5 linked regions of the Neurospora crassa OR74A genome follow. The protein of the gene in region 4 interacts with the protein of the main gene of each other region in a pairwise test. Links are inferred from orthologs where the notes say so. Each region holds a gene or a part of one and is shown on either strand. Other genes may lie near its edges. The genes, in order: NCU02624, NCU04461, NCU02693, NCU06402 and NCU06207.

Region 1 (4,659 bases), on a different chromosome or scaffold from region 4:
TCATGACTCCTCACTTCATTCCCATCCCCCTCCTCCCAGAGGACGTGGAGGAAGTTCGTCAACAAAACCCCAGTCAATGATGTCCAAAAATAAGGTAGCACAACACCACTCAATAGTTCCTTGTCCTTCACAAAGTCTCCAGCAGAATTAATCTCCACGTTTCAGTGCAGTGCAGTGATCTTCCAGCCATACCTCCACCATCCTCCGAGCATCTCTAACAACCATCACCTCCTCGCCGGCCTCATGAGCTGTGTGCTGTGGGCATCAGCAATCCTCGGAACCGTCTTGGCTGCGTTCAAGCATCCTCTATCTTATACTTCCATATCGCTTCGATCCGGCCTTCTATTTTCCACCAGTTGGCTGGGACCGAGTAAACCAGCAAATTCCTCACTACATAAGCTCTTCTCGTAGCAAACCCCCTTCAACTCCCTAGAAGTTATGGCTGTTGATTCGCTTAGGATTTATAACTACGTCAAGCCCCCCTCCCCCCTCCCCCCCCCCCCCTTTTTTTTTTTTTTTTTTTTTTTTTTGGGAAATGCCTAGATCTTAATAGCCCCCATGGACAACCCGCGGCGAGTGAATGAACTACGTACCCATAGCCATTCGGTCAGGCAAAGTTGTGTCATGATCGAGAACAGCATAACGAGTCACCGAAGAGGAAATGCATATTGCTCCTTCATTTCCTTCAACTGTTCACTCATTTCGGTGCAGGACACGTTTGGTGGTTGTCGGACTCGACTCGGATTATTTGACTCACCAACGCGAACTGGTGATGTTGTCCTTTCAGACTTTCGCAGATCTTCTTTTGGCTACTACAACCACACCTCCAACAACAACAACCAACACGTGCATAGAACAATCAAGAATGGATGTACTGTTCTTCGACAGTGAGGCCACCGTGTTCGTTCGTTGGTATTAGGTATTAGTTATAATGCAACTTCCTTTTCTTTCCCCTGAGTCTTCCTCGGGACACTCCTCCCATAAGGTCCATCGAGCTCTATTCTATCCTGTCTCCAAGAACACTCTTTTTCATGATTGATCAATCACGTCATTATATGCCGTAGACCCAGTTCCATAATTATAACAACTAAAACCAAAGAACGCCCATCTAAGCATCCACACCCTTCCTCACCACCACATCAGTGTCTTTACAACTGGCAACCCTCCCTCCTCTCCCAGTAAATCTTCGCCGGCTCAAGGGGCCTCGAGAAAAGCGAAGCGTAGTCGGTACCAATAACCTTATCGCTACCATCCACGTTCCTGAATTTGAAGTTACGAACAATAATAGCAAGGATAGTCTGCAGCTGCACATTGGCGAACTGCTCGCCAATGCAGCGGTGACGACCGGCGCCGAAGGGCAGATAAGGGGAGTTGGCGCCCTTGCTGACGAGACCGTAGCCGTAATCGATTTTCTCATCGTCCTCCTCGCTAGGGACGTTGCGAACAATTGTGGGCGCGAGGGGCGAGTCCTTCTCCCAGCGGTGGGGCTCCCAAAGGTCGGGCTGGGGGAAGTAGGACTCGTCCGTGGCGGAGACACCAGGGGCGGCGAGGAGGACGTGATCGGTCGGAATAACGTACTTGGTACCGGGGACGGGCATGGGCGTCTTGACGGCGCGCATGATGGAATGGATAGGGGCGTGGAGGCGGAGGGTTTCCTTGACAATGGCGGCGTGCAGGGGCAGCTTGGCGAGGTCCTCGTAGGTGAGTGGGGGGAGGTCGGCGCCGAGGTTCTTGACTTGTTCGTTGTAGAGATCCTCCATGATGTCGGGGCGGGAGGCGAGGCGGAGCATGATCCACGAGCTGGTGGAGGACGAAGAATGCTGGCCGGCCATGAGGAGGGCGATCATCATGTGGGCGATCTCGTGGTCGGGAACGGGGACGTCGCCCTTGTAGGTCGAGTTCATCAGGTGCCACATAATGTCCTGGGCGCCAGTCTCGCCGCGAGCGCGACGCTCCTTGATGGTGTCCATGTAGATCTTAGCAACGGTACGCTGGGCGTAGTCGCGACGGTTGTTCCAGGGAAGAGGGGCCCAGTGAAGCATGAAGTTGATGGGAGAGAAACCCATGTCGAGGTCGTGGTATAGGTCGGCAAGCGTCTCGTCGAACTTGTCGCGAATCTCCTTGCCCTGAAGAGCGTGCGAGGCGGTGAAGATGGTGATCTGCGCCATCTTGGGGGGAATATCGACGATGCCGGATTTTCCCTTGAAGTCGGCGGTTCTCTTGAGGTAGCTGGTAACCTCATCGGAGATGATGGGGACATATTGGCGGAAAGCTTCGGTGGTGAGCGCAATTTTCATGAACTTGTGAAAACCGTATGTTAGCACACTCTTTACCACCTCCATATGTTGTTGCCTCTGCTAACCTTCTTCTGCTCCATAAGCTTGGAGTTGGGGCAATCGTAGACGACGTCCTTGCCGAAAACAGGGGTAGTAAGGACGGTGTAAATCTCTTCGGCGTTGACATCGCGAATTTTGCCGTTCAAGATAAAGTCATTGCCCTTGGGGCCGACGTAGACAGTAGTCTTCTTTCCGAGGAGGATGAAGGTGAAGCAATCGCCGTACTGTTCGAGCGCCGAGATCGTTAGCAAGCCAAGTTCGCGCGTAGCCCAACAGGAGGCGGTTGGAGGATTTACCTTTTCCCTGTTCTCCTTGAAGAAACGCGGCGGGTCCATACCATACGTAATGGTGCTGCCGATGAGAGGAAACCAGTGGAAGACGAGAGGCGGCTCATTAGGCTTTTTGAAGAGGAACTGCTGGAGGACGTTGAGGACGACGGCAACAAACAAAAAGGAGGCGATCGCGACACCAATTTGCGACACCGTCCCCAGCTGGGAAAACTGCTGGGACAGCGGTCCCGCAACGACTTGCAGGATGCCCATGGTTGGAGAAGGAGGCGGGGAGAAGGCGTGGAGGGGAACGAAGCCAAAGTCGTGGACGCCGGCAGCAAACAAGCAAGAAAATGAATGTAGCCTGAGGAGGGGGGGTAAAAGGGGAGAAGATGGGCGACGCGACTTGATTTTATAAAGTCGGTCGATGGTTGGCGGTTATCGTAGCCTTTCCCTCTCTGGCTACGACCTATCCTAGCGATAGGCTGATAGGGGAGGGGAGGTCTACCCACCTAGCTAGGGACCAAGGGCAGTGCAGTGGTAGTGTAAAACTGGGGTGACAGCAGCACACTTTCACCAGCTTGGTGAAGCTCAGGGACCACCTCACCTTTCGGGAGCAGCTTTCCCTCCGGGCGAATAGGAGTTGGGCAGTCTGATGTCTCCCAGCCAATCATAAGAGCAGGGGCAACGCATTCGTATTCGGATTTTTGGTTGGACGGTACGTACCCTCTCCAGATCATCCAAACTAACCTATCCTTGCCGCACTGGCAACCTCAGCCCAAGATCATGCCATGGGGGAAATCGCATCTGACGGTTTCCACCATGGAAAGAGACGATTGGAGCTCTTCAGCCATGCTGTTTTGGTCTTGCAAAGGAAATGGGATGCAGACAGGGTAATGTCATGCTTGAATGGAAATCCTAACGTCTTCAGAACGCGGCGAGTACGAAGGAATACATATGAATGCCTGACTGCAGATGCAGGGCAGCGATGAACAGATATGATAATATGCATACTACTTGAATGGCCGCTATCTACATACTTCACCCCTTTCAAACATCTCACCAATTCCCAACTCGCAAGCAAAAGTATCTAACATTCCGTGCTTTGTTGAAAGAAACTTGGTCAAATACTAAAAAAGGGGTCAAGCTGGAGTTCAACGGAGCCATCTCTTGGCATTCGAGGTTGTGCTTTGCCACAGCGGCTACTCCCGCTCTCGTCTCAATCCCGCCCAAGCAAGTCATCTTGCGTCGTCCCTCGCCTTTGCTGACCACCACTATCTTTCTAGCCTATGAAAATATATTAAAAAAGGAACCAAAGAAACACGTGGAGTTCGCTATTGTTATAGTGAGGTAGTGCAATGGCGTCATCAAACGATTACGCAAACGTATTCGAATCCATGGTTTGATAGACTCATGATCGAAAATCTGTTGCTGCCGGTTCGAATATGTATGTATAGAGTAAATATATTTATTTGTTGTCTGAATCAGGTGGCTTGGTATCTTCCAATACTATGAGGCAGGTTTCCAACCGAGCCCTTTGTCACTCTACACAAAACCAACCAAATGCATTGACTTGCTTGGTTCAGACATGCAAGAAAACAGAAAAAAAAAAAAAAAAAAAAAAAAAAAAAAAAAAAAAAATCAATGCTGATTCTGACAGGAAGCCGGGACATGTTCTATCTGACATCGAAAGAAGAAAACCCATACGAAGGAATAGAGAAAAGCTTGAGTGAATGCGTGTTATGTGGTATCATGAGTGCCCTATCCCAAGAATCCCGGAATGATCAATGCTCCCCCCTTCCCCTTTTTTGTTACCCCGAAAATGAAAGTGTAACTCCTGGTTGAACGCCGTCCAAAATGCGAAAAGCTGCAAAGAATAAGCGCTATGACTGGCAAGTTTGTTGTTGTGGTTGTTGTTGGTTGTGGTTGTGGTTGTGATTGTTGATGTTGATGCTTCGGAAGCTGTGGCGTTCCTTGCTTATGGTTCATACATCACCCGTTGTCTCGTTCTTGGTCATTTCTTTCGAAAGAAAAGTCCCCTGATATCTGATGTG
Region 2 (3,905 bases), about 650 kb from region 4:
CTCTACAATAGATACAGGGTCCGAAGGGTGGATGTAACGCAGGCCAATGGGATGTGTCTTTTGGCTAGAGCCATCATGCCACAAGTCCATGCTCCTTCCCAGCTTCACGTGAGAAACATGGTAGCTAGAAGCTGCGATATGCGCTTACTGCTTCTTGGCTTCACGAGCGGCCTTGCGGAGAGCGCGGTTGCGGATGTCGATGTGCATGTTCTTGTTCAGCCTGAGGGTAAAGTAGCTGTAGGCACCGACAGTGTTCTCAACAACCCACTTGAACACAGCATGGCTCCACCAGGGGGTGTAGGTGTTAGGAAAGGGCTCGGAGCTGTTGAGGCCAACCTTGCCGAGAGCAGCGCGGACGAACTGCTTGGGGTTGGGGATGAGGAGGCTGGTGCGGCGGATCTTGCTCATGGCAGTGGTAACGAGGTAGCTGACAACAAGGTGGACATCGACGCCCTGGTCCTTGAGCTCGGCAGAGAGAGCGCTGCTCCAGTGCTGGAGGAACGCCTTGCTGCCGCTGTAGGTGGCAAGGTAGGGGGTGGGCATAACACCGGCGAAAGAGCCCATGGTAAGGATAAGACCCTTCTTGCGCTGGGCGAGGATGGGAGCGACAACCTTGGTGGTCTTGAGTGTGCCGAGGCAGTTGATGGTGACAATGTTCTGGAGCTCGTCGCGGTCGGTCTGGAGGAAAGGAACGGGGATGCTGTGGGACTGGCCAACGTTGTTGATCAAGATACCAATGTCGAGGCCCTTGATGAGCTCGGCGAGACGCTCGTAGTCGGAATCGTCGTCCTTGGAGAAGTCCATGGCGAAAGTCTTGGCCTTGAAACCATCCCATCTGAGCTCGAGCTCCCTAGCAAGGACGTCCAGCTTGGACTGAGTGCGAGAGACGAGAACGAGGTTGAAGCCCTTGGAGGCGAGCTGCTGGGCGAACTCCTTTCCGAGACCATCGGAGGCACCAGTGATAACAGCCCAGGTGCCCTTCTTGCCATACTTGCGGAGCTGTCAAGGTTGATGTTAGCCACATTCACCTGACAATCTTCAGTCCCAAGTAAGTTTGCGAAGAGACGTACGTTGGTGCCGCTCAGGATGAAAGCGTTAAGGAGCAGCTGGAGGAAAGCGCCGACGCGAGTAGCGACGTAAAGGGCGCCGATGCCAGCAAGGGCCCATTGGCCATATTGAGGGACAGTGCCCCAGATCTCGGCAACCTTATCCATTGCGTACGGACTGTCGGCGAAAGTCGTTGATGAAGGAACGCCTTTGGTTTGAATCGGGGAGTTGTGACACTTTCAAAGTTGGGTCCGGTCGCAAATAATTGTTGGGAACTTTTTGGAGGACCTGGGGTCGACTCGCCTACTATGTACACTTGCATGTGTCAGCCGCCAAGATTTTCGAGACGTCCCGCCCCGCGGCCCCGGCGAGAGGACCTGGGCAGCTGGGTTGTCCCCGCTTTTGCCGAACCATCACTCACTCGACGCCGCCATTGAACTCCGACGGAGCTGGCCATGGGCCAATGGATAGAGGAGAAGGGGGAGCCTGGCGGATTTTGTTTGTTGTCTCCAAAATGTCGTCCAATGCCCGTGGACCTGCGTCCATGATGCTACGATGACCCCTGTCTCTCGCGCTTGAGAGTGGCCCGAAGTGTGGTTTCCATCCGATCCTCGAGCCGCTGGAACAAATGGAGAGCTGCAACAGGAAGGGCAACTAACACCTCAACAACAAAAGGTCTTCTCAATACAAATATCCTGGACTTACGATAGCTTTCTTCCCTGACGACAAACCGCTTCATAACTGTTTGAACCAAATGGACGCTATCAAGGCTTTCCTGCCTTCGGGCGAGAAGGGTCTCCTTCCCTACTACCTCTTCTTTGTAAGTTGACGGTTGCTGGTCCCCCTGACTCTTCACATGGTTTCGCAATTAACACGCCCTTCGTCCAGGTCTCCATCGTAGCTATGGGAAACGCCCTCCAAAACTACACTACTCTCCACTACACGCGACGCCTTTACAACGGCCGTTTCGTCCCCAACCCTTCCCTGCCGCCCGCAAAGGGCAAATTCAGCCCGGAGGACAGCGTGGACGTGCTGAAGCCCGTCTCGCCCTCAGAGGCGGAGAAGAAGGAGGCGGCTGCCAAGGACCAAGTCACGCCGCTGGCGGCCCGCGTCTTCGGTACCTACACCTTTATGGCCGGCATCATCCGCTTCTATGCGAGCTACAACCTCGAGAACGAGTCGTTGTACAAGCTCGGTATCTGGACCCATGTCATCGCCGCCGTGCACTTTACGAGCGAGTTCTTCATCTACAAGACGCTGCGTTTCAGCGGACCTCAGATCTTCCCCTTCTTGGCGGCGTATGGCGGCACGTTGTGGATGGTGTTGCAGTATGGTTACTACGTCCAGTAAAAGACAGGTGCAGCTACCAGCTGGTCTTTGGGAATCAAAGCAGGAAGCAGTACATGGCCCCCAAAAAGGAATGGCGAGTGGACTCGGATCATGACCATAAGAAGCGCGATCGCGTATTAGGTGAAATAAGACTCCGACGATAGGCTTTGTGGAAGATGTACCACTTATTGATACCCTTTTCGGTCAAGAAGCGAAGCAAGCGCATCATACATTTCCACTACTGCAACGACTTGCGATAGAGCTCACCACCGCAGTCTCTGAGTCGCGCAGCCGCTTGCTCCGGAGTGATATCCCTCTGCGGCTCAGCCATTAACTCGTATCCGACCAAGAACTTGCGCACGGTAGCAGACCGAAGAAGTGGAGGGTAGAAATGCATATGGAACCAGCTCGTCTCAGCCTCTTCCTCTGTGCAATCCAACGGCGCCTGATGAATACCCGAGCCTTCTCATACCGTTAGCTCCTTTCTCCCTTTCTCTCTCCTTCGGGCAGTTGCAGAGGGTAGTAGAACTTACTATACGGAAAGTTTGTCTCGAACAAGTTATCATATCTTCTCGTAACCTCCTGCACCGCCTCGGCAAACTGCAGCCTCTCCTCGCTCGTAAGCTCCACCAGCGCGCGCACATGTCTCTTCGCAATGACGAGCACCTCAAACGGCCAGACAGCCCACCAAGGGCAGACGACCAAGAACCCGTCGTTCTGCCAAACCACACGCTCGCCCTTGGCCATCTCCACCTTGACGTAGTCCTCCAGCAGATGCCTCCCCTTGTGCTCACGGTGGTACTTGGTCATCTGCGCCAGCTCCTTGCCCGGCTCCTCGGGCAGCGTGCTCGTCGTCCAGATCTGGCAGTGCGGATGCGGGTTCGAGCAGCCCATGGCCGCGCCCTTGTTCTCAAAGATCTGCATGTACCGCAGCTGCTGCTTTTTCGCGGGCTCGACTTCGCCGTCCGGGTTAGGTGGAATCTCGCTGAGTGAACGCGCGGCGGCGTCCCTGAGCGGATGCGAGGCAGACAGGTGGCTGGCGTAGATGCGCGTCCAGGTCTCGATCACGGGTACGATCTCGGTCGCGCTCATGTCCGCCAAAGTGGTGTCGTGCTTGGCGGAGAAGGTGAGCACGTAGCACCGGCCGGTGGCGGGCTGCGCTTGCAGGAGGAGAGAGGCAATGTCATCGTCGCCGTCACCAGCGGCGTCCTTCCGAGGGTGGTACTCTTGCTGTTCCTCTTTGACGGCGCTGTAGTCGTTGACGAAGGCGAATGTGTTTTTGTAGTGCGGGTTGGAGTCGCCTTGGGCGCGCTTGTTGCCGGGGCAAAGGTAGCACTGGGTTGCAGTTAGAGTGAGTGAGAGTAATATAAAGTCATGAAGGGACGGGGATTACGCACCTGGGGATCATACTCAGGAAGCTTGTTGAGGGCTGGAGCCTCTTGCTGTCCTCTGATTGCAACTCGTCAATTCAAACTAACCCGCTGTATTTCTTTATTTCCGGTGTGGCTATCGAGGACTCACTGCCATGG
Region 3 (4,353 bases), on a different chromosome or scaffold from region 4:
CACAGGGCCTCTCCAAAACCTGGCGCTCCCTTCCCAAGCCGCAAACGGTTGTCCGCTGTCCGCCCATCAACTGGGCCCAGTACGCCATCGTAGGCGAGTCGCTTGATAAGCTGCACCGCGAGCAATTGACGGCGCCTACGCTGGGGGTACCTGCGGTTCTTAGTGTCGGGGGAGTATATGAATTCAGAGGGACAGCGGCGGCGGCAGCAGGAGCAGCACCAGGAGGGGGCGTTGTTAGCGTTGGTAATGGAAGTGGTTATGCCATGGGAGATACCACGGCAACAACAGACCGGACCTCTACGCCACCAACGACAACGATGGCGACCACGGCTGGAACAGAAGCGCAGCAGTCACCAGGGGAGACATTGGGACAGGGACAAGGGCAAGGGCAAGGACAAGGACAATTTCCAACACTAGGACGAAATGAACAATCGCAGAGATTGGTTGGTATTGCAGCGCCGTACACGCCTGGAAGAGATAAGATCGAGAGGACGACAGGCAGGAAAGGAGCCAAGCGCTGAACTTGACATTTCCTAAGACATATGAAGGAATTGAAGTGGCCTACGAAGGGGATAGCATGGCGTTAGGGTATCATGGTGTATGGGATTAGCAAGAGAATTAAGTTTAGCGAGCGATCAAGATCGGAATGCTTCTGTTAGTCACTTATGGACCGGTAACAGACCTAATCTAGAAACTACGTACACGCACCGGCATCATACTGTTCAGTCTGGGCTTTGTTGAAGGAGTTTCGTAGCTTCGCGTGACATGTTTAGCATCTGTCCGTGGATCAATATCCAGCTCACCCCTTCATCCGGCCAACATGTCTGAGAGAGGCATGCCTCGTCGTCCGTCATCCAAATGTCGTCATTAGATATTATTATACAGCGGGACAGATAGTACGGCGCGTTCCAGCACGCAAGGCCCGACTTATTTCGCCTCATCAGCGCTTGTCCAATGTTTCATATACAGTTATCATGCCTTCCGTCGATGTTTGCTTCTTTCACCACCACCACCACCACACCCTTTATCCCTTCCACATTCAAGGCCTGCTATACCTATTGCAACTTCTCCCCCTTCTGCTGCTCCAGCGTCCACTTAACCGACCTCTTCACCGCCTCATCCAATGGCACCAGCGGCTTATATCCCAACCGCTTCTTAGCCTTGGAAATATCGTAGTACCTCGTCATGCAGCTATAAATGATGCGCTGCCTATTAAACGTCGGCGGCTTGCGAATGATCCCAAAGAAGACTTCCGACAAAAAGCCCAGCACAATACCAACATCGCGCGGCAAAACCCACACGTGCTCAGTCCCATGGGGAGATCCCGCAGCGTTCCACACAGCCCGGCAGAAATCCCAAAAGTACACGGGCGAGTCGTTGGTAATGATGAAGGCCTCGCCATCGACGCGCTCATGGTCTAGTGGGGCGATCTTGAGCTTGGAGGTTTGGAGGAGGGCGACGGCGGCCAACAAGTGACCGTGCGCTACGTTCTCGACGTAGGTGAAGTCGAAGAGGTTATCGTTGTCGCCGACTTGAACCGAGGTCTTGCCGTTCTGGTACAGTTTGATTAGGTGGTACAGCGTCATGGTGTCGCCTTCGCCCATGATGCCTGAGGGACGGATGGAGCAGGTGAGCAGGGAAGGGGCGGCAGCGGAACGGTTGGCCTGGAGGACCAGTTCTTCGGCGGCGGCCTGGAGGGAGGGGGAGGTTAGTTTTGGGATGCATCACTCTTGGGGGATATGGGAGAGAGGGGAAGTAGGAGGGTACCTTTGTCTCCGAATAGTACTCGCTCTGCTGGGCTCCACGGATGACGGGCCAACGTTCGTCCGCATTGATGAGGTCGGACTTGTTATCACTCATCACACTGGCGGAACTGGTGTAGACGAGGGCGGTAACGCCCGTCTGCTGACACGCCTTGATGATGGCGGCGGTGCCGTCGACGTTGACCTTCTTGAACAGCGCATGAGAGACGCTGTCGTTGGACTGGGCGGCAGGCGACGCGGTGTGGATGACGACCTGGGGCTTGACCTGGTTGAAGATGGTTTCGAGCCTGGCGGGGTCTGTGATGTCGGCCTCGAAGTATTGGACGCCATCCGACTCGGGTCGCCGGTTCCGCGTGCAGCGTAGGTCGATGACGGAAACGGAGCAGATGTAGTCGCGGAGGAGCACGCGGACAACGTGGTGACCGAGGAAGCCACAGCCGCCAATCACCATGACGGAGCCAAGCTCCGGCTTCTTTTCTGAGGCCATCGTGGGATGTATGCGGGGTATCGACAAGGGAAGAGCAATGGATTGGAGCGTTGGGAGAAAGGCAGGAAAGATGGACTGAAGGAGGGTCAATTGGGAAACTGTCTAGTTCTAGAGCAAGGGACGTGGGATCATGGGTAGGATATCTTCGAAGCCGGGGGACAAGGATGCCATTTTGAGCTACAAATTGCAACCTATCAGGGACATGCCACTGTGTCTCTGGCTCCGCGTCTCGGCTCCAAGCACGCCACTTACAGTAATTTCCCCTCAAAGTGCATGCACCTGATAATGCATAAAGCCCTCTAGATGCGTAGAAATTGGCGGCCGCAATTAGTTGGTATGGGAAATCGCATAAGTGCTTGAATGCCCCTGTATGTGAAACGGCCGGCCATTTCGGTGTAATATGCACTATTTGGAACACCTTTTTCAGGGCCTTTTAGGACTTTATAGGCAAGCTAGCACTCTCTGAACCTCTGAAATTTTCATACTAAGGGAGCAAAAAGACTTGGCATGTGCCTGCTAGTGCATATGTGCCTCTAGATGCATATAAACCCCTGGCCCGGATTACATGCACTTTCAGGGGAAATTACTGTACCTAGCTCTTGACAGCCAGTGAGGTACGACACGGCGACACGCCTGTGGAAAACATCGTGACCCCTTTTTAAGAGGCTGGATTTTGGGCGGAACCTACAGAAGGGCAAAATGAAGGACCCCTGTTGTCCATCAAGGTCGACGGGGTGCGGCTCGCAGTGGACCTGAGTGGATGAAGGCGCACAGGGACCCGTGCTCTCCCATCTTCCAAGTTCCAACATCGTGAGACCTTGCCATAAAGGTGGAACCTAGTACTATCGATCCCGCCTGCACATAGAGGTACCCAACTGAATGCGACGGGCACGCGGTTTTCCATTTTTTTTTTGTTGCCAGATCCCGTCGTGCAGCCAGTCAACAATGCGCATTTGCTCCCTTTCGTTGTCCTCCCACAACGGCGTTTCTCTTCACTTCCACCTCGTAAGAATCTGGAACACTTTACTGTCTGTCAGGCAACAGCCTTCCATCCAGCGTCTCACCCTTACCCATAAACCCATGATCCAGCACACTTCCAACTTCTATATCTCGATTGCAACGCAGCCCAGCCCATTCCATGGCACTCGACAACCACAGCTTAAACTGGTGCCCTGACGCAGTGTGATGAACAAAAAATCCGCGACCGAAATCCTCGTCCATATCACAGCTCCTAGCAGATCGAAAGACGATGCCAACTATAGAGCACTCGCCAATGCATATAACAACTTTGAACCCACCACGCGCACATCCGTGTTCAGCAAGACAATATCACCAAATGTCGTAGTTCATCAGGCCGCCGTGCAGCCTCAGCCCGTTGGAAATGGCTCCCTAGGACCCTCCACGCAACCGGATCAGATCCTTCGGTCGTCTGAAGTAGCAGGATTTGTCGAAACACCGGTGTTATCGTGGCGCGATGCCGCGAACAATTTAGCATCGCCCAGCTTGCGGATGAGGCACGATGAGCCTAGCCAATACTCACAGGTTTCATGGCAACCTCCTGCAAGCGTTGTTCAAGATTCACTGCCAGACAATAATGTGACTTTGTCTCAGTTTTGCACACCGACAAGGCTGTTAGAGGACTATCTACATCCTGGTGATTCCAGTCAGTTTCTGTCGCCAGTCATAGAGAGGGCCCCGAGTGGACAGCAACCAACAGCCGCCCGGATCCAGAGTCAGCATGAGGGATACTCGACATTCCCCACCATCAGCCATATCTCGCAGCGGCGACAGGTGGCTAGCGGTGAGCCTCACATAGCGCTCTTACCACCGGATTCTTCTTTACAAGGGAATAGCCAGGAACATGCGGCGGAAGGCGGTACTCAAAGGACCCTCAGTTCACTGATCAATAGGGCCAAGAAACCTCATGTTGCTGCGCCATCAGAAAGGGATTTATCATGTCGTCAACTCGCTAGGCGCATGTCAATCACAGAATATTCTCCCAGACGCCAAACACCAGCAGATCCCCGAGGAAAGTTTATACCTCTCTCGCCAGTGATAAACGCCAACAACAAGCGCCGCCGACCCGTCCAGCATGGGCCGTCT
Region 4 (4,448 bases):
AACGGCCAGGTCAGGGTTAGAGGTGCAGTTTTGAGGCTCGATTCGTAGGGTAAATCACAACTTCCCAACATATAGAAATTTCTGAGAAATAAAAAGCTGGACGGATACATTACTCTATTCTAACTATCCTCTAGCTCTTTCTTTATTTTCAATTAATTATTGAAATACGTTGTGGGCGTTCACTGTTTTGGTATCGTTTATCTGATTTGCACCTCTAACCCTGGTGGCCGTTTTAGTGGTGTGGCCGTGTTATTCGTGAGCACCCACTTAGGTGGGTGCGAGTTTGCGAGTCCCAAAAAAGTGGGGGCGTAGTACGGGTACCGGATGTGAAGATTGCCGAGATGGTCGGTTCTTGTTCAAGGCTTTGGGCTGTCACTGTCAAACCCGGAAATGTGGGATGAGGTGGGGATGTTTCTTTGGGCTTGACAAGCGGGGCGGGCGGGCGTCCGAAACCCACCGAGTGATGATCGATGACAGGATTGGTAAGGCGGGGATGGGAGCCGACTGACTTGCAACTTGGTTCGGCTGCGATCCGGCCAAAGGAGAAATGCGTGGTAAGATGAGGACAGTTGAGCCTCATCAATGAATGACCTGATGAGTTGATGACCTATTGTCGGCAAGATGTACACGTGTAGTTGCCGAGGAGAGGTGCGACAGAATATTGTAGTCAGACACAACCAAATGAAGGTCGAATCGAAGCTCAAATGTCAGCCTATGATGTCCAAGGATGGATTGAAGATGCCAAGCCCAACTTTCAAAGGCGGTGACAAACTGCCGATGCCAAAAGCCTCAAGTGGTCAACCACGGCATTGAAGTCAGGGACACAACTCGTAGTTTGGCAATGTTCTCTGAGCCATTACGGAATACCAGATGTTTTGCAAACATACCAGTCTGTGAAAGCATCCACGAACGAGCTTTGGGGAAAAAAGTGACGATCCCATTAAAACGTAGCGTAGCTGCTCCGCCCGCTGTCGCCGCTCAGGTACGTACCGTATGGAAATTACCGATGCCAACTGTGCCAGTTCGCCGTCAGTGGCTCAACGTGCCAATCCAACTGGTCCATCACGCCAACCCCCCTGGCGACCTGATTTGCCTGGGTGGTGCATGGCAGGATGGCAACGAACCAGCCGAAGAAGAGGTGGGATCACGGTGTGGATGCAATCGTTCCATATCACTGGCAAACTCCGGGCAATTCGAGGTTCTCGATGGGAGATTCCATGTCAAAGGGATGGAGATGTGTGTTGTATGGTAAACTACAGTAGCCTTTTGTTGTCAGTCAGCCGACCTCTACTAGTGTACCAACCGCAGTGGTGAGGCACGGTAAGTAGTGTACAGGTATGTATGAAAAAGTTATGGTTGAGATCAATACCACACACATGCCGCCGTATCTCCGCGTAGATCACTTCAACTTCCATTCCTTATCTGATGGAACTTCGCCCTCAGTTTCCCACCTCGCGGTGACGTGGTCAGTGCCTGTCACCCAAGGAACTCAAAAGATAGGAGCCCAAGGAGGAACAATGGCACATCTCAATGCACGGCAGAGCATGGTGTTGGGATTTCATTGCTTGGCGGGCTCTCAGTTTCATTGAGCACTCGCTGAGAGTCGCCGTCCGGTCATTCGAACTTGGTGAAACAACATCCAAGAGTGGGTCCGGAAGGCGGAAACAACAGCTTCGCAGTGGGCCGATTCTGGGGTCATTCCCGCCATTGGTCAACCCAACACGTCTCTCAGGGGCTCCCGCCAAAGGACACCAAAGGCAAAAGGACTTTAAAAAATCCAGCAACCCCTAAACTTGTCAGTCGCCTTTCCCTAGCATCCCACTTGCAAGAGGACGCGGTCGATTGTTTCTTTTTCTTGCCCCGGTTTCCTCCACGCGCATAGTATCTTCTTTCCTCGCTACAGGTCCCTCCTCGCGTTCCAACACCCAGCAACACCTAATTGGAGGCGCCTATTCTCTATTCGCCCACCATGGCTTCGGCAGTCCTGTACGTTCTTGTTTACCATCGTGCGCCTGTCAACCGTGCCCAGATCGAAAGCTGACTCGTATCGTCCCGTCATCTAGTAATGCGACCGTCGCTGGCCTGAGCTCGACAGACACGTACTTCACCGTCTTGGAGGAGGTTTCCAAGTACAATGTTCAGCTGAGCTACCCCGAGAAGCTCTGGGCGGTACGCGGCCCCTGCAACCCAACCCCGAAACGCCGGGACGAGACACGAACAAGGATAGCTAACGTTGGACGATAGGCGTGGTATCTGTGGATGCAGAACGACGTTCTCGCGACCGGTCTCATGAGCTTCTTCATGCACGAGATCGTCTACTTCGGCAGGTCGCTCCCGTGGATGATCATCGATGCTCTCCCCATGTTCAACAAGTACAAGATTCAAAAAGTTAGTGCCCAGCCAAGCATGACCTGAGACTCAAAAAGCAAAAGAAACTAACAACCACATAGGAAAAACGCCCCACCTGGAGGGAACAGTTCGAGTGCGCCGGTCTCGTTCTCCTCAGCCACTGCACCGTCGAACTCCCTCAGATCTGGCTCTTCCACCCCATCGCCACCTACTTTGGTCTCGACTATGGCGTGCCCTTCCCTCCTCTTTGGAAGATGGCCCTTCACATCTGCATCTTCTTCGTCATGGAGGATGCTTGGCACTATTGGAACCACCGCGCGCTTCACTACGGCCCTCTCTACAAGGCCATCCACAAGATTCACCACACGTACAGCGCGCCCTTTGGTCTCACCGCCGAGTACGCCTCCCCCATTGAGGTTATGCTCCTCGGTATTGGTACTGTAGGATCCCCCATCCTCTGGGTTTCCATCACCAAGGACCTCCATCTCGCCACCATGTATGTCTGGATTGTCCTCCGTCTCTTCCAGGCCATCGACGCCCATTCCGGCTATGACTTCCCCTTCAGCTTGCGCCACTTCCTCCCCTTCTGGTGCGGTGCTGAGCACCACGATCTCCACCACGAGCGCTTCATCGGCAACTATGCCTCCAGCTTCCGCTGGTGGGATTACTGCCTCGACACCGAGGCCGGTGAGGAAGCTGCCAAGGCTCGCCGTGACAAGAAGCTTGCGGCCATCAAGGCCAAGAAGGCCCAGTAAATGGGTGGAGTTTATGGATCCGCTGTTATGATACCGTTCACGGTATTCGTACTGTTGTCTTCCAAGGTCTTCTATTCGACCTCACTAATTTTGGACAACGCATCACCAAACAACGGGGAAGAAGGAAGGGAAGAACCACCTAACGATGGGAATTGGTCCATGAGACAAATCAGGGAAATAAGGATTCGATAAAGGCCAGAAACGGGTTGGTTTATTTTGGCTGAAAGATAAGAAGAGAGGTGCGGTTTTGGTCGAACACGGACCAACCGATGCACACCTCCATGCAAAAAAGGCGTTTGGAAGAGGAAGAGAGTTGCGTCGCACCTTTCTTGCCGTACGCACGCGGTGGTGCAGTTGGGGAGGGGGGCATTTTCCTTCTCGCTTCTATTAATTCTTGTACATAGCTGATTCCTTCTTTCGGCGTCCTCCTCGGCAAAGCACCACCCCGTGCCCAGCCCTCTACCCCTTCCATACAAAGCCCTTTTGATAATCTAGTAATGAGAGGATCATGAAAGTAAAATACATAACCTAGATACACTTACATACACCCTTGATGACTCCTGAGTGAAGCTTCTGTCAATTACTTCACTTCTTAAGGTGCGTAGGCGTGCAGCAATCACCAGACGAAGCCACGGCCCGGTCGGTCAAGTTGGGCATGGCGCAGCTGGCGCCAGCTTCCGGCTCAGTCTCGCCAAAGTCTTTGGCCAAGGAGTCGCAGATAGTAGCTAGTTCAATGTCCAGGGATGAGAGACCTTTGGGGACGTGAGTCGTCCAGCGAATGAAGGTTGTGTTGAAGACCTAGGCAGGGGCGGTGAGATTAGAGAGGAAGATAAGAGGGAGAGGATATGTGGCAAAAGAGAGCATGTAGAGGAGAGAGAGAGGATGTGGCTTACATTGGACCATTCGGGATGGTGGTTCTTGAGCTTGCATTGCAGGGAGACGGCAGTCATAAAGTCCTAATTGGGAGGCGTCGAGATTAGGATCTTGGTTATAACTCGGAATTATCTGAGTCTCTGGGTGTGTAACACAGTCTTGCATGCCCTATGAGACACGCTCGGTATATTGTAGCCACGCAAATCGTGAGTAATAATGGGGTCGGAGCTGTGTGCAACAAGGAGAAAACGAAGAAAAGAGCAATCATATATGGGAGGGGGGGGGGTGCATAGTAAAGATAAAGCAAGAGCCCGAATTTCAAAACCCATCCAAGAGTCCAAATCGGACGAGAATAAGCACTTCAGCCAGATAGACATAGTAGAGAGGTAGGTAGGTATATCAGATACCTTATCCGTCATAACTGGCTGGCTGGCTGGCTGGCTGGCGTCGCAGCTCGGTTTCTTTCTTTCA
Region 5 (4,916 bases), on a different chromosome or scaffold from region 4:
TTCTAACTTGAGATCATACTATCCAAAGCGGAAGTGACAGGAGGCCTCCAGTTTCGCTTATCTCCGGTTCAACGGGGGCGTTCCAAGCTCAGAAGCAATCTTAGCGTTTGCTTGGCCTTCTAATTTATGTTGTACCTATGGTCTTGTGTTGTGTGGCTTGGCCATTTCGTTTCGGTTTACTCATATATGTGATGCCTCGCCTTGTTCCCTTGAAGATGTCAGGAAAGCAAGACATGCTAGTAACACTGGTCATACCTACCAGGATACTGAATTTGGAAGTACATGTCGCCTGTGCCATAGTGGAGCGATGGGTTGTTGTATGACTTGGGGACAGTGACCGCCTAGGTTTGTGTTGTTTACTCGGAGGCTGGCTCTCATCCTTTGAGAACTATCTTCTTGTGTTCTTTGCCTGTCTGTGTCATTATATATGGTCATCTGAACGGCAACCTTTCCAGCATATGTTTCATTGCCTCGAGGGACAACAGATAGATCCGTACATGATGCGTATGTGCAAAGATGCGGGTATATATAAAATGATATAAAGTATGTACAACGAGTAGGTTATTAGAATCCTTCTAATGGACAAACAGTGAGTGACCACTGTTTTTGTTTTTCTTGAATGTGTTGTTATTAGCTCCATCCGTCCCAATCCAGTTACCTATATTCAGTCATTCCATCATTTGGTTTATGAGACTAACTCCTCCTTCATGGTGGGTACTGTATTATAGTACCCTCTTGCCTTTTGTTAAGCTGGTCCGGCGCGGCGGGTTTCCAGATGGTATACATCCGTATCCAATGTGGTGTACCGCCGTTCTCGTTCGTGTGTTGAGTTGTCATCGACCGCCGTCCGTGCCACCATCCCACATCGCATGAAGGGTCGCAGATCCTTGGTGTCAGCCAACCATTCAACCCGGGTCCCTGATCCAGGACCATAAGACCGGGTGGCTTGGTCTTGGCCGGATGACGCTGATTCGTTAATCCCATTTGTCCTTTTTTCTTTTTCTTTTTTTTTTCCTTCCCTTGAGGGAGAAAAAAATGACATCAACCAGAACTGGTGAGATTTCTATTCCTCCTCGTTTTTTCTCGCACTTCACTCTATTTCGACTTCTTAGTCTCGGTCGGCTCGTAAAGCCGATCATCCTCACCCTCCACCTCCTTGACAATCTTCTCCATCTCGTTGACCTGCTTCTTCCACGTCGTTGTGCTCATCTTCTTCTCCTTCGCGAACATGTCACCGTCGGGCTCCCTGTAGCTGCCGCCGAGGCGGTCCCACAGCGTGGTGAACTGGCCGTAGTTGTAGTTGAAGGCGAAGTGGTGAACCGAGTGGCAGGCGGCACCGTTGATCACGGGGTTATTGGCATAGTACTCGCCGTCGTGGATCATGATGGTCCAGAAGTTGATAAACACGAAAAGGCCGACGTACGCCATCTTCTGGAGCGGAAAGATAAAGGGGAAAATGTGGTAGGGGATGCTCTGGGCGAAACCGTCGATGGGGTGGAAGGCGTGGCTGGCATAGGGAGTTGGCATGATCCACTTGTGGTGAGGCTTGTGCAGGTGCTTGTACACGAGCGGGTGGTGAAGGCCACGGTGGATCCAGTAGATGCCAAAATCGGTGAACATGATGAAGAGTGGGAACTGGAAGAAGTCGTACCAGCGACCAGGACCCTCGGCCGTGGTGTCGTAGAGGAGTGAGTAACCGCGCACTTCGGCAACCAGGAAGGGGAATGTGAAGAACGCCATGACGGGCAGGGCGGCGTTGGTCTGCTTGATCTCGAGCCAGACCTGGTTCTTAAGGAACTTGGGGTGCTCCATAGTCTTCTTGTCGAAGACGAAGATGTAGGAGAGGGAGGCGAAGACGTAGTAGGTTACGAGACCGAAGAGCCTGTGTGTAAGCCAAGGTTAGCGTGTTTGCGCCCAACTCGAACATGAAAAAAGGGGTTTGCGCGCACCATAGTATTAAAAAGAGCGATAGAGCCTGACGGTAGATGTTGTCTCTTGTCCAGATACTCTGGTAGGCCGCCTGCGAAGGCTCGAGCGAGAAGAACTTGGTCGCGGGCTCATACACCCAGGACGAGAAAGCTTGTGCGGTGCCATTGGTCTTGTCGGGGAAATCATAGAGAGCAGGTCGTGCTGGTAGTAGCCAGGCGTACATGTAATCGAACATGAACTGGTCGGTGACCTCGAGGACCACGTCCATCTTGACGGTGGTTGTTGGGCTTGCGCGCCAAAGAAGGGATAATCAAGTTGAGTAACAGCAAGCCGAGCAAGCTTTGTGTTCCAGGCCCGGATCAAGACCGTGTCGGGTGCCTGTAGATAAGCAACAAGGGGGAGAAAGGCGTGGGTCCTGGTGGGTAGCCAAAAGGAATGATGGAATGAAGGACCGACACCGGGAAGAGACCGCGGCGCAGAAGGTTTAAAAAGAAAACAGAAGAACACGATGAATAATGGGAAAGAAAGAGTGTGCCGCGAATCCGATACAAGATGTGTCGCTGGCAATAAAGTGACAGGCCCAATTTCTCATGTCATAACCACCCCTGAACGATCGGCTTCCCGAACGAGCGTCGCGTCGAAAACAAGCGGACCTTCGTCGAGCGTGCCAAGGCCCGGGGACGAGGGTAGTTGTCCTTGCTGGCCCCGTAAATCCGTGGGCTGCTCCGAACAAGGACAACAGAAGCTCTCTCGCACGCCTGCGATAACGGTGCAGTGACAAGCGAACGGGTTGGATTCTGAGTGAAGACAGGCATTCTTGAAGGTGGAAGATAAGTAAACAGATATCTGCAGTAATTTGTAGCTTGAGCGTCACAGGCCAGCAGGAATGCGGAATATTTGCTTCCCACAATGAGCTTCGTTGTTGAACAATCCATCAACATCATCATCGCCAATAACCCCTTTTTTTTTCAGTTTTGCCCCAAGATCTAATCAAATCTGGGCCCCGAATGGGCCGCTCGTCTTGCCATCTCCGCACCGTGAGTGGTGGTGGTGGTGAGACGGGAGGTCTTCTAAGGGAAGCCCGGACCCATCCGAGAACCTCTTTTTTTTCTTTCCTCCACCAACGACGGGAACGTCAGAGATTCCGAATGGATCCACCCGTCTTTGCATTCTTCGACCGTACCTTCCTCTTGCCTCTCTGAAATGTTCTTCAATTGCTTTTACAATAGCTCGCCAAACGAAGAAAAGCGTTGTATGCTCTCACATCGCAAGTTGGCAATAACAAAATGGGCTGTCAACCCAACGTCTTGTCCTCGACGTTGCATGATGGGTGGCACGTTTGACAAGAAGCTGATCTCGACAGCACAAGGGACCTTGATTGAGCTCCGTGATTGGATGGCCCAGCCAAGTCACTGAATGCAAGAAAGCCGAAAGTGATTCAATGGAGAACGCTTGACTCTCGGAAGCAGGAAGATGCGAACGACCAAAATGGCGTGGTTTTGGAACGATCCGGAGCCGTGAGAAACCCCTCCACCTGTCCCCACTCTTTCTTCCCCACAGCAAGATCTTATCTGGTAAAGGATACAACTGATTCATTGGTGACCTGACCTGGCTCCTCGAACGCCCCTCATTTAAAAGTCAGGTACAACTTGTCACAATCCCAAGACTTGGGATCAAAGAGATCTCCCGCTGTTCAAGTCGCTAACTGTCATCTGCTTTTTGCCAAATGCAAGATCCGCGACGAACAACGGTGAAGAAAAGAGTGATGAAGATCCCATTTGTCTCCAGTGGTCGATTTCGAACATTTTCCACAAAGGCATGGGCACCACTGGTTTTATCAGATGCGCCCAGAGTGAGTTGGCTGACTGTTGTTGGATGGAGCTAGAGATCTTGATCTCCAATACATACAAAAGACCACAATTGCCTACCGAGTTCTCAGAGAGTACACCACCACATGGAACCCCATTCCATCAGCCAAATGGCTTTGGGCAAGTGAATTACTATCAAGGGTCTTGCAGCAACATTATTTCAGGGGTGAATGCAAAAAACGGAACTTGAAGTTCAACAAAGAGCCACCGTTTGAGCTAAACTCTGTTGTTACCCTGTTGTTACCCAAATATTCAACCTCTAACCACGTGTTGATATCCAGCTTCGATCCATCGTCGATCCAGACATCTCCCCTCCCACAGAAACACAATCCCACTCCTCACTCCTCGTCCTCTTCCACCCAAGTCTTATCATCCATCGAAAGCTTCATATCAACATGTTGCGATTCCGGAATGTCGACAACCGGAACGGGAAGCACAGCAGCAGGTGTTGTCGTCGTCGTCTTCTCCTCCCCCTCATAGAAAGAGCGAGGAACTAAAATCCACAGACAAAACAGTATTAACAAACTGTCAAGAAGAACCCAGGAAATATCAACATCCGTAAATCCCTTACCAAAACTCGAAGCACCAGCAGCACCCTTCGCCCCTTCCGCCATCCCGGTGCCCTGACACTGACACTGAGCTGCCGCCGCGCCCGCGCCCGCGCCCGTCGTGGTTTGCAGCGTGCACATAGACAACGCAAAAAGCGTGACGGAAATAGTCAGCAGAACGGCGTGGACGAGCCAAATCCAGCGGTCCCAAAAGCCTCTTCCATGTTCTCGGCTGCCGTCGACACGAGTATTGCCGCTGTTGTGGTGGCGGCTATCGTCGTTTAGCCACCATCTTTGAGGTAGTCTCCACAAAGCAGACAAGGGAGAAGAGTGAGAGGGTGCGGCAACGGCGGCGCTTCGGACGGGGACGCTGAACCAGGGCGCCTTCTTTTCTTGGAGGTAGTCCTGGGATTCGAGGTCGTCGTCCAGCGGAACGGTGTAGTAGAGGTTCTTGTTGATGTTGGACGACATTTTTGTAGCGGTGGTGGAGCGGGATGGGTGTGAAGGTTTGACTTGGTAAGGCGTAGAGCTTGAATGAGAGGCTTGGATTGGATTGGACTGAAGGTCTTGT

Evidence for each region.
Region 1: the proteins of NCU06402 (region 4) and NCU02624 interact in binary tests that used the Saccharomyces cerevisiae proteins (3 or more experiments, as listed by UniProt). The link is inferred for Neurospora crassa OR74A from reciprocal best matches to the Saccharomyces cerevisiae genes ERG25 and ERG11.
Region 2: the proteins of NCU06402 (region 4) and NCU04461 interact in binary tests that used the Saccharomyces cerevisiae proteins (3 or more experiments, as listed by UniProt). The link is inferred for Neurospora crassa OR74A from reciprocal best matches to the Saccharomyces cerevisiae genes ERG25 and ERG28.
Region 3: the proteins of NCU06402 (region 4) and NCU02693 interact in a two-hybrid assay, tested with the Saccharomyces cerevisiae proteins (2 studies listed by BioGRID, with this or other methods). The link is inferred for Neurospora crassa OR74A from reciprocal best matches to the Saccharomyces cerevisiae genes ERG25 and ERG26.
Region 5: the proteins of NCU06402 (region 4) and NCU06207 interact in binary tests that used the Saccharomyces cerevisiae proteins (3 or more experiments, as listed by UniProt). The link is inferred for Neurospora crassa OR74A from reciprocal best matches to the Saccharomyces cerevisiae genes ERG25 and ERG3.

Annotation. Positions count from the first base shown.
Region 1 is NC_026501.1:2,956,344-2,961,002, forward strand, and holds NCU02624 (cytochrome P450 51), read right to left. Parts: upstream 3,147-4,659; 5' UTR 2,879-3,146; coding exon 2,633-2,878; intron 2,561-2,632; coding exon 2,363-2,560; intron 2,301-2,362; coding exon 1,149-2,300; 3' UTR 528-1,148; downstream 1-527. UniProt on the Saccharomyces cerevisiae protein: Sterol 14alpha-demethylase that plays a critical role in the third module of ergosterol biosynthesis pathway, being ergosterol the major sterol component in fungal membranes that participates in a variety of functions.
Region 2 is NC_026504.1:3,279,129-3,283,033, forward strand, and holds NCU04461 (transmembrane domain-containing protein), read left to right. Parts: upstream 1-1,474; 5' UTR 1,475-1,801; coding exon 1,802-1,867; intron 1,868-1,935; coding exon 1,936-2,397; 3' UTR 2,398-2,614; coding exon of another isoform or gene 2,615-2,838; 3' UTR 2,839-2,909; downstream 2,910-3,905. Other genes in the region: NCU04462 (3-ketoacyl-CoA reductase), read right to left, coding at 145-999, 1,071-1,214; NCU04460 (galactose-1-phosphate uridylyltransferase), read right to left, coding at 2,615-2,838, 2,910-3,711, 3,774-3,825, 3,898-3,905. UniProt on the Saccharomyces cerevisiae protein: Part of the third module of ergosterol biosynthesis pathway that includes the late steps of the pathway.
Region 3 is NC_026501.1:3,224,280-3,228,632, forward strand, and holds NCU02693 (C-3 sterol dehydrogenase/C-4 decarboxylase), read right to left. Parts: upstream 2,451-4,353; 5' UTR 2,251-2,450; coding exon 1,768-2,250; intron 1,692-1,767; coding exon 1,056-1,691; 3' UTR 628-1,055; downstream 1-627. Other genes in the region: NCU02692 (hypothetical protein), read left to right, coding at 1-521; NCU02694 (hypothetical protein), read left to right, coding at 3,436-4,353. UniProt on the Saccharomyces cerevisiae protein: Sterol-4-alpha-carboxylate 3-dehydrogenase; part of the third module of ergosterol biosynthesis pathway that includes the late steps of the pathway.
Region 4 is NC_026504.1:2,629,571-2,634,018, forward strand, and holds NCU06402 (C-4 methylsterol oxidase), read left to right. Parts: upstream 1-1,725; 5' UTR 1,726-1,969; coding exon 1,970-1,986; intron 1,987-2,063; coding exon 2,064-2,169; exon of another isoform or gene 2,170-2,244; coding exon 2,245-2,388; intron 2,389-2,450; coding exon 2,451-3,104; 3' UTR 3,105-3,673; downstream 3,674-4,448. Other genes in the region: NCU06401 (hypothetical protein), read right to left, coding at 3,690-3,902, 3,998-4,060.
Region 5 is NC_026503.1:1,911,274-1,916,189, reverse strand, and holds NCU06207 (C-5 sterol desaturase), read right to left. Parts: upstream 2,926-4,916; 5' UTR 2,198-2,925; coding exon 1,950-2,197; intron 1,883-1,949; coding exon 1,096-1,882; 3' UTR 28-1,095; downstream 1-27. Other genes in the region: NCU06206 (hypothetical protein), read right to left, coding at 4,136-4,816. UniProt on the Saccharomyces cerevisiae protein: C-5 sterol desaturase; part of the third module of ergosterol biosynthesis pathway that includes the late steps of the pathway. ERG3 catalyzes the introduction of a C-5 double bond in the B ring to produce 5-dehydroepisterol.